3 separate regions of the Mus musculus genome follow, and all the other regions are reported to be linked to region 1. The links are microRNA targets in miRTarBase. Many come from high-throughput screens and were not tested one by one. Region 1 holds a microRNA gene; each other region holds the end of a gene's coding sequence.

The links. Region 1 holds the annotated microRNA mmu-miR-3071-5p (ACUCAUUUGAGACGAUGAUGGA, at 2,649-2,670, opposite strand). A microRNA usually pairs through its seed, bases 2 to 8, with sites in the 3' UTR of a target mRNA and lowers its output. Matches are read on the target gene's strand: a 7mer-m8 pairs with bases 2 to 8, a 7mer-A1 pairs with bases 2 to 7 and ends in A, and an 8mer does both.
Region 2: the mRNA of Mtfmt is a reported target of mmu-miR-3071-5p. Seed matches in the 3' UTR shown: 7mer-A1 at 1,580-1,586.
Region 3: the mRNA of Slc8a1 is a reported target of mmu-miR-3071-5p. The part of its 3' UTR that is shown has no 7-base or 8-base seed match.

Annotation. Positions count from the first base shown.
Region 1 is chr12:109,592,715-109,596,781 of GRCm38, forward strand. Mir3071 (microRNA 3071) reads right to left here and starts at 2,683; the gene lies at 2,604-2,683. Rtl1 (retrotransposon Gaglike 1) reads right to left here. Exons shown (of 2, transcript NM_184109.2): 2 at 1-2,774. The coding sequence starts at 2,689. 6430411K18Rik (RIKEN cDNA 6430411K18 gen) reads left to right here. Exons shown (of 1, transcript NR_002848.3): 1 at 1-137. It overlaps Mir127 (microRNA 127), which reads left to right and starts at 132; the gene lies at 132-201. It also overlaps Mir434, Mir432 and Mir136.
Region 2 is chr9:65,451,396-65,455,462 of GRCm38, forward strand. It overlaps Mtfmt (mitochondrial methionyl-tRNA formyltransferase), which reads left to right. Exons shown (of 9, transcript NM_027134.3): 9 at 610-1,659. The coding sequence ends at 810. It also overlaps a transcript of Spg21 not described here. Among named protein-coding and RNA genes, the nearest start is that of Spg21, 7.5 kb to the right of the region's middle.
Region 3 is chr17:81,385,115-81,389,181 of GRCm38, reverse strand. Slc8a1 (solute carrier family 8 (sodium/calcium exchanger), member 1) reads left to right here. Exons shown (of 11, transcript NM_011406.3): 11 at 115-4,067. The coding sequence ends at 491. Among named protein-coding and RNA genes, the nearest start is that of Gm33944, 100 kb to the right of the region's middle.

The sequences.
Region 1 (4,067 bases):
ACAGTATCCAGTATTCCTCTTGCTCCCTGGCTTTCTCTTGCTGCCTGGCTTTCTCTTGCATCCTGGCGCTCACAGGTTCCAAAGTCTCTCGGGCCCCAGACTCGTAAAAGACGCCGCTTTGATCACTGTCTCCAGCCTGCTGAAGCTCAGAGGGCTCTGATTCAGAAAGATCATCGGATCCGTCTGAGCTTGGCTGGTCGGAAGTCTCATCATCTGCCTCCCTCGGGTTAAACACGTCGGCCAGGTCTGAGTATGTGTGTGGCAATCCGGGCAGTAGGCTTATGCTGTATGTCTCTAGTGCGATGCATGGTGGAGGTGGGGTGAAGCAATTCCGCAGACAGTAGGGAGAGTGGAAGGTACACCGGCCTCTCATCCAGTCGACTTCAGGGGCATGGGTTCGGAGCCACTTCATGCCTAAGACGATGGAGAAGTTGGGCGAAGGTAAGATGTCAAATTCGATGTACTCATAATGCTTCTGGTGGACACATACCAGGGGCTCGGTGCACAGCCAGACGGGTTCATTGCCAATTGGGATGCCATCCACACCTTGGATTATCTGTGGATAAGGCTTCTCATAGAGTTCCACATAGTGTTCCTGGGCAAACCTCTCATCCATGTAGTTCCCTTCTGCTCCTGAGTCCACCAGGGCCCGCACTGCGACACTGTGGTAGGGGTCCACTCTCACCAAGAGCAGTAAGAAGAGGTGATCGCGATCAATGTCTGGGTGGAACTCATTGGGCAGCCAGCTGCTTACCCTCCACTTCTCTGGGGCGGGAGCATCCATCCAGGCTACGCTTCTTGGGCGCGACTCAGGTGGCAGCCTGAGTAATGCTCTTCTCTCTGCCAGCTTTTCTTCAAGTTGCAGGACAAGTACAATCAGGTTGTCTAGGGAATTCGGCTGAGGGATCCGGAACAGATAGTGCCTGATCTCTTCGTTGAGCCCCTGGCACAGGTGGGCCTGCAGGACTTCATCTGGCCAGCCTAAGGTGGGTATCAGACCCCGGAACTCATTGATGTAATCGGCCGCACAGCGGTTCCCCTGCCTGATGTTGAACATGGCGTCTTCCGCCACACGCAGGGTCTGCCGATACTCAAACTTTTCTGACATGGCCTCCAGGAAGGCTGAGAAGTTGTTTATCACTGGGCTGTTCTGCTCTACGAGGTCGTTGGCCCATTCCAAGGCTAGGTCAGTCAGGTGGCGGATGACGAATTTCACCCGCAGCTCATCATTGTATAGCATACTTGGGTAGTTCTGCATTGTCATCTGGCAGAGCACGACAAACTCATGGTAGTCTCTGCGATCTCCAGAGAAGGGCCTGAGGGAGGGCAGGCGACCTTCGTTGATAGCCTGCATCATGAGCCTTTCTGCCACTCTCTGTTGTTCTTTTAGGTCTTGCATCCGGAGGAACAGCGAGATGACGTTCCCCATGGTGGCCACGACTTCTTCTGGAGAGTTCTTGGGCTGACCTTCCTCTTCACCACCTTCCTCTTCCTCCTCTTCCTCGTCATCTCCCAGGTCAGTATCATCTTGGTCTGACTGGGTCTCGGATGAGTTGATTGTTTCATCCATGCTATAATCGGATGCCTCACTGAGTGGTTCCGACCCTTCCTGGTTTGAAATATCACTTGACTGGTTTGAACTGTCGCTTGACTCCTGGTTCGAATTATCGCTTAACTCCTGGTTTGAATTATCACTTAACTCCGGGTTTGAATCATAGCTTGACTCCTTTTGTGAACCATCGCTGGACTCCTGGTTTGAACCACCGCTTGACTCCAGGTTGGAAACATCGCTCGACTCTGGGTTTGAACCAAAGCTCGACTCATGGTTTGAACCATTACTTAATTCGTGGTTTGAACCATCACTCGACTCCTGGTTCGAACCATCATCACTTGATTCCTCCATGTCTTGGGGTAGATCGTTAGATGATGCCTCACAGGGGTCGCTGGATGGCTCCTCCACTTCCCGGAGTAGATCAGTGGGTAGCTCTTGCATTTCCTGGTAGGGGCCACTGGATGGCTCCTCCACTTCCCGGAGTAGATCAGTGGGTAGCTCTTGCATTTCCTGGTAGGGGCCACTGGATGGCTCCTCCACTTCCCGGAGTAGATCAGTGGGTAGCTCTTGCATTTCCTGGTAGGGGCCACTGGATGGCTCCTCCACTTCCCGGAGTAGATCAGTGGGTAGCTCTTGCATTTCCTGGTAGGGGCCACTGGATGGCTCCTCCACTTCCCGGAGTAGATCAGTGGGTAGCTCTTGCATTTCCTGGTGGGGGCCACTGGATGGCTCCTCCACTTCTTGGAGTAGATCAGTGGGCAGCTCTTGCATTTCCTGGTGGGGGCCACTGGATGGCTCCTCCACTTCTTGGAGTAGATTAGTGGGCAGCTCTTGCATTTCCTTGAGGGGGCCACTGGGTGGCTCCTTTTCTTCCTGGGCTGGGCCACTATCTGAGCCCGCCTGGGCCTCAACCTGGGCCTCAACCTGGGCTTCAGCCTGAGCCTCCGCCTGGGCCTCCACCTGGGTCTCCGCCTGGGCCTCCGCCTGGGCCCCTGCCTGGGCCCCCGCCTGGGCTCCACTGCTGCCTGGTGTCTCTTCAACGGTGTTGGATGAGCCCTCGGAGGACTCCATTTGTTTTGATGATGGATTCTTAAGCTCCATCATCGTCTCAAATGAGTCTTCAGAGGGTTCTATCATGTCGTCGGTTGGAAAGGAGTGTGCTCTGAAGACTGGTAAGATTGTGATGTGTGTGGTCAGAGACCGCAACTGTGGAGACCAAAACCTAGGGACAGAGGGATAAAAGACAGGAGAAAATGTAGCAATTTAGGTTCTCAAGATGGCAGGGTCAGATTCTATCTCAAGGACAAAGCAGATGCCAAGTTACTAGAATCAGAGAGAAAATGGAGAAATTCCTCCTGCATTCAGTTCAGCCTCCTTTTCTGGTTACTTGGGGCACCTCCAGGGGAAAGACCGTCACCCCCTGACCTGCCTTCCAGGCGGAGTCTGACTACCCCACCTGCCTACTTCCTCTAGTGGAATGAGAAATTCACAGCCCATAAATTTTGTGGAGCAACTGGCCTGGAGCGTCCTCTGTGGCGAGCTAGCACCTGGCAGGGCACACTTCTGGCCCGCTTTGCCCTGGCCAGGTTCCCTTCCCATTTGTAGTCACCCAAAAGTCATAAAGGTCACATCTCAATGCCACTCAAAGCGGCTGCTGGCAGGCTTGGTGGTCTAGAGCCAGCCCAGTGAGCTTGGTTGGAGGCGGGAATCTGCAGGGAGATGCCTGCTATTTCACAAACTGGGGAAAGAGGAGAAATTGGGCACTTGGCCACTATCCTGCCAGTTGGGTCAACAGCCAAAAATAGCTCTTATTTCCTCCTCTAGGCTCCAAGCCGAAATAAGTGAGAGAGAGCCATGGCTTTTGGTTTTAATTTTGCTCCCCATAAATGTTTATAAAATGCCTACTATGTGCTGAAAACATGCACTTTCATGGCTTCATCCTAGGTCACACTTTGTGCATATGCAGGATAAGAGGGGGGTGGGGGAGGGATAGTATCATTTCTCTTGTTCGGTTTGATCTCTGTCCAAAGCCACGTTTTCTCCAGCTCTGAGCTGAGTCGGAGCTTTCTAAACACCCTTTCCCGGGCTTTCAAAAAAACTGTTCTCCCAGGATTGCCTGGTCTGCAGGGCTCCTGCAGCTTTAAACATCTGGCCTCAATTCTGCTCATGCAAACATTTCTGCACGTCTCACAAATGCTATCTTTCCAAGTTTCTCCTCTGCTTCGGCAGGAGCAGGGTTTTCGTTCTCAAAAGTGCCCCCCCCCCCTTTTCTGTCACTGTTGATTTCGTCTGGTACAGGGGTATATCTAACAGAGGTATGAAGTTGGGTGAAAGGGGGGGCATGGGACCTTTGAAATCTGATTGTTCCGTAATTTTTGAAAATCTAGCCATGGAGGGTTTAGTGCACGGAAATTGAATTTAAAGGGATGTATTGGTTTGCAAAACAAATTAAGCTAGTTATTCAATAGCTCAGCCATATAGCTATTGTCTTTATGAATTCTGCACCTTCTGTTAC
Region 2 (4,067 bases), not on the chromosome of region 1:
ACTGGATTTGCCTACCTTTTAGACCTGTTGTTTTTGGATTTAAAACTCTGTGTGTGTGTGTGTGTAGATATGTACATGTGATTGTGCAAGTGCCCACATAGGCCAGAGGTGTTGAATTCCGCAGAACTGGAATTATCAGGCAGTTGTGAGCTGCCCAATAGTGGATGCTGAGAACCAACCTTGGTCCTCTGCAAGAGCAGTGCATGCTCTTTAACTATGGAGCCAACTCTCCAGCCTTGACTTGTTATGTTTGGGTAACGTTGTATTCTATTTCCTCAGTTGAAATGGGTTAGGACAGTTGTTATTGCGCCTTCATGAGGAACTTTTAGAGACAAGGCATTGCATGTCATCCAGTACAATGTGTTTTGCAGCTAAGTGGTTAGTAACAGCAGTTGTTTCTATAACATTTGAGGTTTTTGTTGTTCTAAAGATATGGCTTTACTAGGTAGCCCTGGCTTTCCTTGAACTCGGAGATCGGCCTGGCCTGCCTCCCCAGTGCTGGGGTTAAAGGCTGCATCACCATGCCTGACGAGGTTTATAAAGTACAGTTTATTTTGTTGTCAAGCTTTGCCCCCATTGTCTACTCACTATCTGTTCTTTGTCCTTTAGGATGGCTGGATCGGTGTTCGGTCAGTAATGCTTAAGAAAACACTAACAGCTACTGATTTCTACAATGGATATTTGCATGCGTGGTACCAGAAAAATTCCCACGCTCACCCAAGCCAGTGCAGATTTCAGACTCTCAGACTTCCAACAAAGATGCAGCAGAAAACAAAGTTGTTGCTATGCAACAGTGCATTAAGTAGCTAGAAAGACAACGGACAAGGACCTATTACACACTTGTAATTTATTAAAAGCTTGATTTACAAGCAAGAAGATGACAGCGTGGGAGAAAGAGAAGTGGTTGTCAGGAGGCGGAAGTCTTTCGCTCTCCATTGTGTGTAGCAGTCAAGGGCGGACTTTTCTACTTGAATCACACAAGAAGTTTAAATAAAATTTGTATTTATAATGTTCAGCTTAAAGGAGCTTGTATCCTTTGAAGAGTAAGACAACTAAATGGTGTGCATATATTCTAAAAGGTTGTTTTAAATGGTGCATCTATGGACTTCGGGCCTAGCTCAGTAGGTAGAGTGCCTGCTTAGCCATGGTGAAGTTCTGAGTTCGATCCCCAGCACCTCATAATCCAGATAGTGGTGCACACCTGTAGTCCCAGCACTCAGCAGAAGCAGGAACGTCAGAAGTTGAAGGGCATCCTCAGCTGTCCGCGAGTTCTGTAGGACATTCCAATTTGGATTTTTATTATTGCTGGAAAAAAGTTTGCTTTACCCCAGACTTGAAACTGGACTCCGGCTTGGGGTGGGGCTCAGTTGGTAGAATACTTGCCTAGTGTGTACACAGTGCTGTAGTCCCAGTACTTGGAAGATGAAGGCGGGAGGATCAGTTCAAGGCATCACTACCAAGCATGTTTAAGGCCTGCCCAGGGCTGGAGAGAGGGCTCAGCGGTTAAGAACACTGACTGCTCTTCCAGAGGTCCTGAGTTCAATTCCCAGCAACCACATGGTGGCTCACAACCATCTGGAATGAGATCTGATGCCTTCTTCTGGTGTGTCTGAAGACAGCTACAGTGTACTCACATATAATAATAAATCTTTAAAAAACAAAAAAAGGCCTGCCCAGGGTATATGAAACCTTGTTTAAGAACAAAAGCAAATGAAAAATGAACTCTGTTGCTAGCTTCTAGTTAAGTGACTTGAGACAACCTACTTAAATCTTTAAAACTCTGGTTTCTTAGTTTAATTATACGGGTAATAACTGCCTTGCAGAATGCTATATTACACAGGAAATGCCCAACATGGACACTTAATAATTGGTAGTGTTTGCTGTCACTTCTCAAGTTTACTAAACCACAGAGTGGCCGTATCTTAGTCAAGTACTCTGGTTATGTCTGAAGGTATCTCTGGATGAGATTAACAACGTTTAGTGGTCAACCCAGTAAAGCTGATTGCTTTTCTAATGTGAGTTAAAAACAAAAGGCGAGGCTGATAGCTTGGGGGTACAGTGCCTGCAAAAAAGCATAAGAACGTGAGTTTGGATCCCTGCTTCCACATAGAAAACAGACATGGCGACTTCTGGAACCCCAGTACTGGGGCAGCAGAGACTGATGGATCCCAGTGACCCACTGGCCAGCCAGTGTAGTTCAGTGGGCTCCAGGTTCATCAAGAGACCCTGCCTGAGAAAGAGAGGAAGGCAGGAGATGAAGAGAAAGCAAAGAAGGAACAGTAGATGTCAGACTTTGTTAGTCGCTTCTGCTCTAATGAGACCTAACCCTGTTGACTTTGAACTGGAGTCAGAAACTAGTGACTGTGCAGTTGGCTGGCAGACTGCAGATCTGGAGACTCGATGGCCTTCATGGCTGTGTGGCCCACATTATAAATCTGCCATTTCTCTGCCTTTACCTCACCTCCGTGCTGCTGTGTTCCGCCTTTGGGCCTTCTACAATCATTTTTCTCCTGGGGGGCAGCCACGCTGTGGAGTACACGGTTACACCAACATGAGGAAAAAGGTTTTAGAGTGAGACAAGATCTCAGAATTTCATCTCAGAGATGGGGAAATGAAGGCTGGGCAGTGGTAGCACACACCTTTGATCCCAGCACACAGACGGAGAGGCAGGTGGACCTTTGAGTTCGAGGCCAGCCTGGTCTACAAAGTGAGTTCCAGGACAGCCAGGGCTACACAGAGAAACCCTGTCTCGAAAAACAAAACAAAAAGCATACGTGAAGGAACAAGTTCAGGCATTGCTGCATTGCTACATTGCGAAGAATCCGAACCTCAGGATTTATCAGATTTCTGTGTGTGTGGAGAGGGGCAGTCAGTTTTCTCTTTCTACCTTGTAAGTCACGGTCGTCAGTGTCTATCCACCGAGCTATCTTGCCAGCCCAATTTTTTTTTTAAATAACTTTTTATTTGGTTTGGGAGACAGTATTTCTAATACCACCTAGCCTCCCTGAAACCGAAAGCTCTGAGTTCACTGAGAGAACCTTTCTCAAATGAATAAAGCGGAAGGGGACAGGGGAAGGTATCTGTGGACAAAACACCACAACCAAAAGCAATTTGGGAAGAAAGGGTTCAGTTTCACTTGCTCTTCCATATCACGCTTCACCATCAGAGACATTCACGTCAGGGACCTGGAGGCAGAGCTGACGCAGAGGTCATGGAGGTGGGCTCCTTACTGGTTTGCCCCTCATGACTTGCTCTGCCTGCTTTTTTTTATACAACCCAAGGACAACCGTTTACAGAGGTACTGCCCACAATCGCCTGGGCCGCCCTCCATCAATCACTAAGAAAATGCCCTACAGGCTTGCCTACAAACCTGATCTTAGGGACTGACTTCTCAGCAGAAATTCCTTCCACTCCTGTGACTCTATTCCAGTTTATATAAAGCTAACACAGTACCTGACATCTTCATATCTTCATTTGGTCTCTCCTCTCTCTCTCTCTCTCTCTCTCTCTCTCTCTCTCTCTCTCTCTCTCTCACACACACACACACACACACACACACCAGAACAAAACCAAGGTGAATAGCTCCTGAGGTTTGACCTTTGATCCACATGCATGCATGTATGCACACACAAACATGAACACATACCTACATGTATGCACCACGAAAAACAAAGAATAATAGCCCTTGAAGGGGGCGGCAGCATGTAACTCCATCGCAGACTGCCTATTTTTCATATGTGAGATCTAATTTTATTCCCAGGACTTAAAAAAAAAAGTACACAAATAAGTTAAAAATACTATTTCAGGGTAAGAGGTCTAGTTCAGTGGGAGAACACTGCCTACCGCCACCCTGGATTTGGTCCCTAAGCACGGAAAACAAAATTTAAAACCCTACTCTTCCATATCACAGTTCACCATCAAAGGTGGTCGGCTCAGTTACCTGGAGGCAGGGCTGATGCCATGGAGACATTTTGTTGGGGAGCGACTTTAACTTTTTAAAACTAGCTTATAAAACTCCAGGCTCCCTTATGTTCTCTTCTCTCCAATTTTAGCCCTGGGAAAGCAAC
Region 3 (4,067 bases), not on the chromosome of region 1:
CAGAGAAGTCTACTGTGGGCTTGAGTCTAGTGTACACAATAGAAGCTCCTTGTACCTCATGACTCTATTTTGAAAGGTTAACTCAGTGTCATGGTCTGTTTCTTCTCTCTGCAGACACATTTGCCAGCAAAGTAGCAGCTACCCAGGACCAGTATGCAGATGCGTCTATAGGCAATGTCACTGGAAGCAATGCTGTGAATGTCTTCCTGGGAATCGGCGTGGCCTGGTCCATTGCTGCCATCTACCATGCGGCCAACGGGGAACAGTTCAAAGTGTCCCCCGGCACGCTAGCTTTCTCTGTCACTCTCTTCACTATTTTTGCTTTCATCAACGTGGGGGTGCTGCTGTATCGGCGGAGGCCAGAAATAGGAGGTGAGCTGGGAGGGCCCCGGACTGCCAAGCTCCTCACATCTTCCCTGTTTGTGCTCCTGTGGCTCTTGTACATTTTCTTCTCCTCCCTGGAAGCCTACTGCCACATAAAGGGCTTCTAAAGGAACAATCAGATATAGTAAATTTATATATATATATGTATACATATATATATACATAAAAATTATGTATAATGAACAGAGGAAACTGACATTTGTCATGTTCACTTAAACTGCTGATGGAATCCAGCTTCAAGAACATCCGTACTAGGCCGGAAGTCAGAAACCATCATCTCCCATTCCCGGGCATCATCAAGTTGAACAAGGCATGGAGGCAGGGTCATCTTGCAGCTCGTCCTAGAAGAGCTATACTCTCTCCGAGTTCTTAAATGGTTAAGGCTTCTATTTGTTTTCTTGTTTTATTTTGTTTTGTTTTGTTTTGTTTTGTTTCCAGTGGTGGGGGGAGAGGGAGGGATGTGGGTGGCTGATGTTTGGCTTTCGGTTTTGGTTTTGGTTTTGCTTTGTTTTGTTTGGAGGGCCAAGATCTTCTCCTTATAGAAAGTAGTGATCCACCCAAAGGGGAGTGGATTTTGGATGAATATTAGAATCATTAAGATTCGCTCCTCACCTCCTCCGAACACTTTAAACATTACTTGGATTAAGGAAGGAGCTGGGCGTGGAAGAAGAAAAAAACCACATCTTCACTACATTACCAAATTGTATGCTTATCTCCGGAATGTGAACAGTGGTGAACTGCCTCCAGAGAGAAGCATGGGAGCTGAAAAGGAGCCAGGAAAAGCAATGGTTCTAGACATAGTTTAAGGATACGGTGTCTGGCACTCTTGTTCAACAGGTACAGGGATAATGTGCCTAGATTCCCAGGAACTCATAGAACCCTTCATCCCTTATTTCTAGCTCTGAACTGTGATTAGCAAGACCCTTACTCCTTCCAGCCCAGCCTGTTCCCCGGGTTTTCCATCCCAGACCTCCTCCTGCCCTCCACCCAGCCCCTGCAAGGAGGAAAATTAACCCCACCCCCAAAGCCCTACCATTTCAGTCATCACGTGTGTCCAGGTCCCATGTTGCTCTTGCCTGGGATTTTCCATCCGTTTTATTTTCAGTGGCATCCATGGCTTGCACAATCCTGTTCCAGTCATGACTGAACATTTGCCCCTCCTTCATGTGCCTGTTAGGGACTGTTGTCGTGATCCCCATTACACAGTGCATGGACGAAAAACAAATAAAACAAAGCGTATCTGTATATAGTAGAGTATAGCAAATACTGTCCTCCCATTCAGCGATGTTGATTGGACATTGAAGACATAAGTGAGTTTTCTTTTCACCTGAGTTGTTCCTTTTGAGTTGTGATTGAGTTTGGATATTAATAGGGATAAAAGAAGAAAATGGCTTATTGTTCATGAATCTTGCACGCTCATTACTAAGAAGCAATAATTGTCGTGTGAAAAGATATTAAAGTTGAGAGGATAGCAGGCAAACTACAAAGATGTCTATGAAATAATAGCCATGTAGAGCACATCAGAGGTCTCTAAGAATCACCCATTAATTCAGGTAGACTGAGAAGAAAGGCTGGGAGACCAGTGGATACTTTGGATGTGCCTGGATTTTTACAGCCACCATTTCCACACCACCCCTCCCCCAACATATTTATTGCACATCTGCTCTGTCTGGCACAGATGATAGATAGTGCTAGTTGATTTTATTAATGGAGAAGGCTGTTTTGAGCCCTGTTTTGTTCACCTTTCAGTTCAGATAGCAACTCCTGAGTGGAAGTCTGAGTGACCAGTGGGACTTTAGAGGTCCACTGGGTATGACTAAGAGGACGTTACTCAAAGAGACTGGGAGTAACCATTGCAAGGAATGACTCTTTCCATTCAAAATACCAAAGAGCAGAGATAAACCCAACATTCCAAAAGCTGTGATTCTACTGATGGGAAATGGGACGGCTTGGCCCATCTCTCAGACACTTCTCTGAGCCTTTCTGGCCCTCTGCGTTGACTCCAGATACTTAAGAGATAAATGTAGCTGAGAACTCCTTTCCCTCCTTCCACTCAGTGATCATAACCATTCATTGTTTAACCAACATGTAGTGACTGAGTGAATAGAAACTTGTTGCCCGTTCAGTAGGCCAGGTAATACTACAACCTGGGAGCAGAACAGTGACCAAGACAGCCCAAATTCCTGCTCCCAAGGGGAATGTAGTGAGTGGGATTCCTCCTCAGAGAGTGAGAGTTGACACTGAGACAGTTTTGATCTTGGAAGAGAAAAGGAATTATGACTTTTAACCTAGGCACATTAAAATTGCACAACAAAGGCAGTTGACCAAATGCTCATGTTTTGTTTTTCCTAAAAGAATGTAATTTTTAGCTCTGGAAAAGTACTCTTTATAGCCTTGGCCAACTCGCAGGTATTTTTATCTTCCTAATTTAGGCCAAGCAGGACACTATGGTGGTGACCAATATCACTGAGAAGAGCTAATTAGCCGGTGTTTAGTCTCTGTGGCAATGGTACCTTTCCATCACAACACTCCACAGGCCACCAACAGTGGTGACAGTGGGGACTCCTCAGGGGAGCCCTCTAAGCCATCCTGTTTTGATTTTTTTTTTAATCTTAATTTTAGATTTTAAAAGTGGAAAGCTAGCCTAGACATACCCAGTAAATCTAGTCAAAGGATATATGTGGTTAAAAACCTTAGAAAGATTTTGCACTGGTTTTTGTTTAGTTCTGTTTTTTTGTTTTGTTTTTAAGCCATCTTCGGAATGTCAATAATTCTGTAGTGAATTTCACAGAGAACTTCCCAAGAACGTCTTGCTGTTGGTCAGTTTCAAGTTCAAGCTTTTTGGTGTGTTTGCCTTTTCAGTCTTCATGCTGTAGGGAAAATCTGATCTGGATCTTCAGGGTTCTTAATTATTATGTGTAAATGATTTCATTTGATTTGTTTGATTATTTTTATTTTGTGTGTATTGTGCACGGCTTTAGGGGGACAGGCACACTCGGTGCTGTTCCTGACAATTGGTACACATTATTGACACAGAAAACAAAAACAAAAATCAATAAAGTTTCTAACTGTTTGTGATTTCATCACCAGTGGCACAGCATGTTCTGTACTGTGGAATGTCCCCTCTCCTCACTGTCACCTACTTCATTTTCAGTTGTTTGTTTTCATGCTCTGAAGAAATAAAGACCAAAAAGGTATCCTTGTGCAATCTATATCCTTATCCATGGGAAAGGAGACAGCCACAATCCAAACCCATACACATGTCAGCCCTTAGCTCATGCTGTGCTTAAATGGCCCACGAGCAGCACGTGGAGTCGGAATGTTTGTCTGTTGTGTGATGCTGTGATAAGCATTGGGTGTACCTTCTTTTCACCATTTTTCCACCTTTTAATTTAACTCTATCTTCTTGCTTCCTGAACCCAAGCACATGAACTCACAGGCTATTACTTGTTAAACAACTTTCATCACACAGCGCATCATAGTAAATCATGCCACCCATTGCACTGGTTTTTTTTTCGAAGTATAGTTACTTCCCAAGGGACAAACAAATTGTTCACTTAGTATCATATATTGTATTTCTTCTTATTCCTAGAACAACTTCTTTATGTTGATAACTTCTGATTCTATGAATTGTATAAGTCACTGATTTTCATATCTCATGCAATCAAAAGTACACAGAAAGA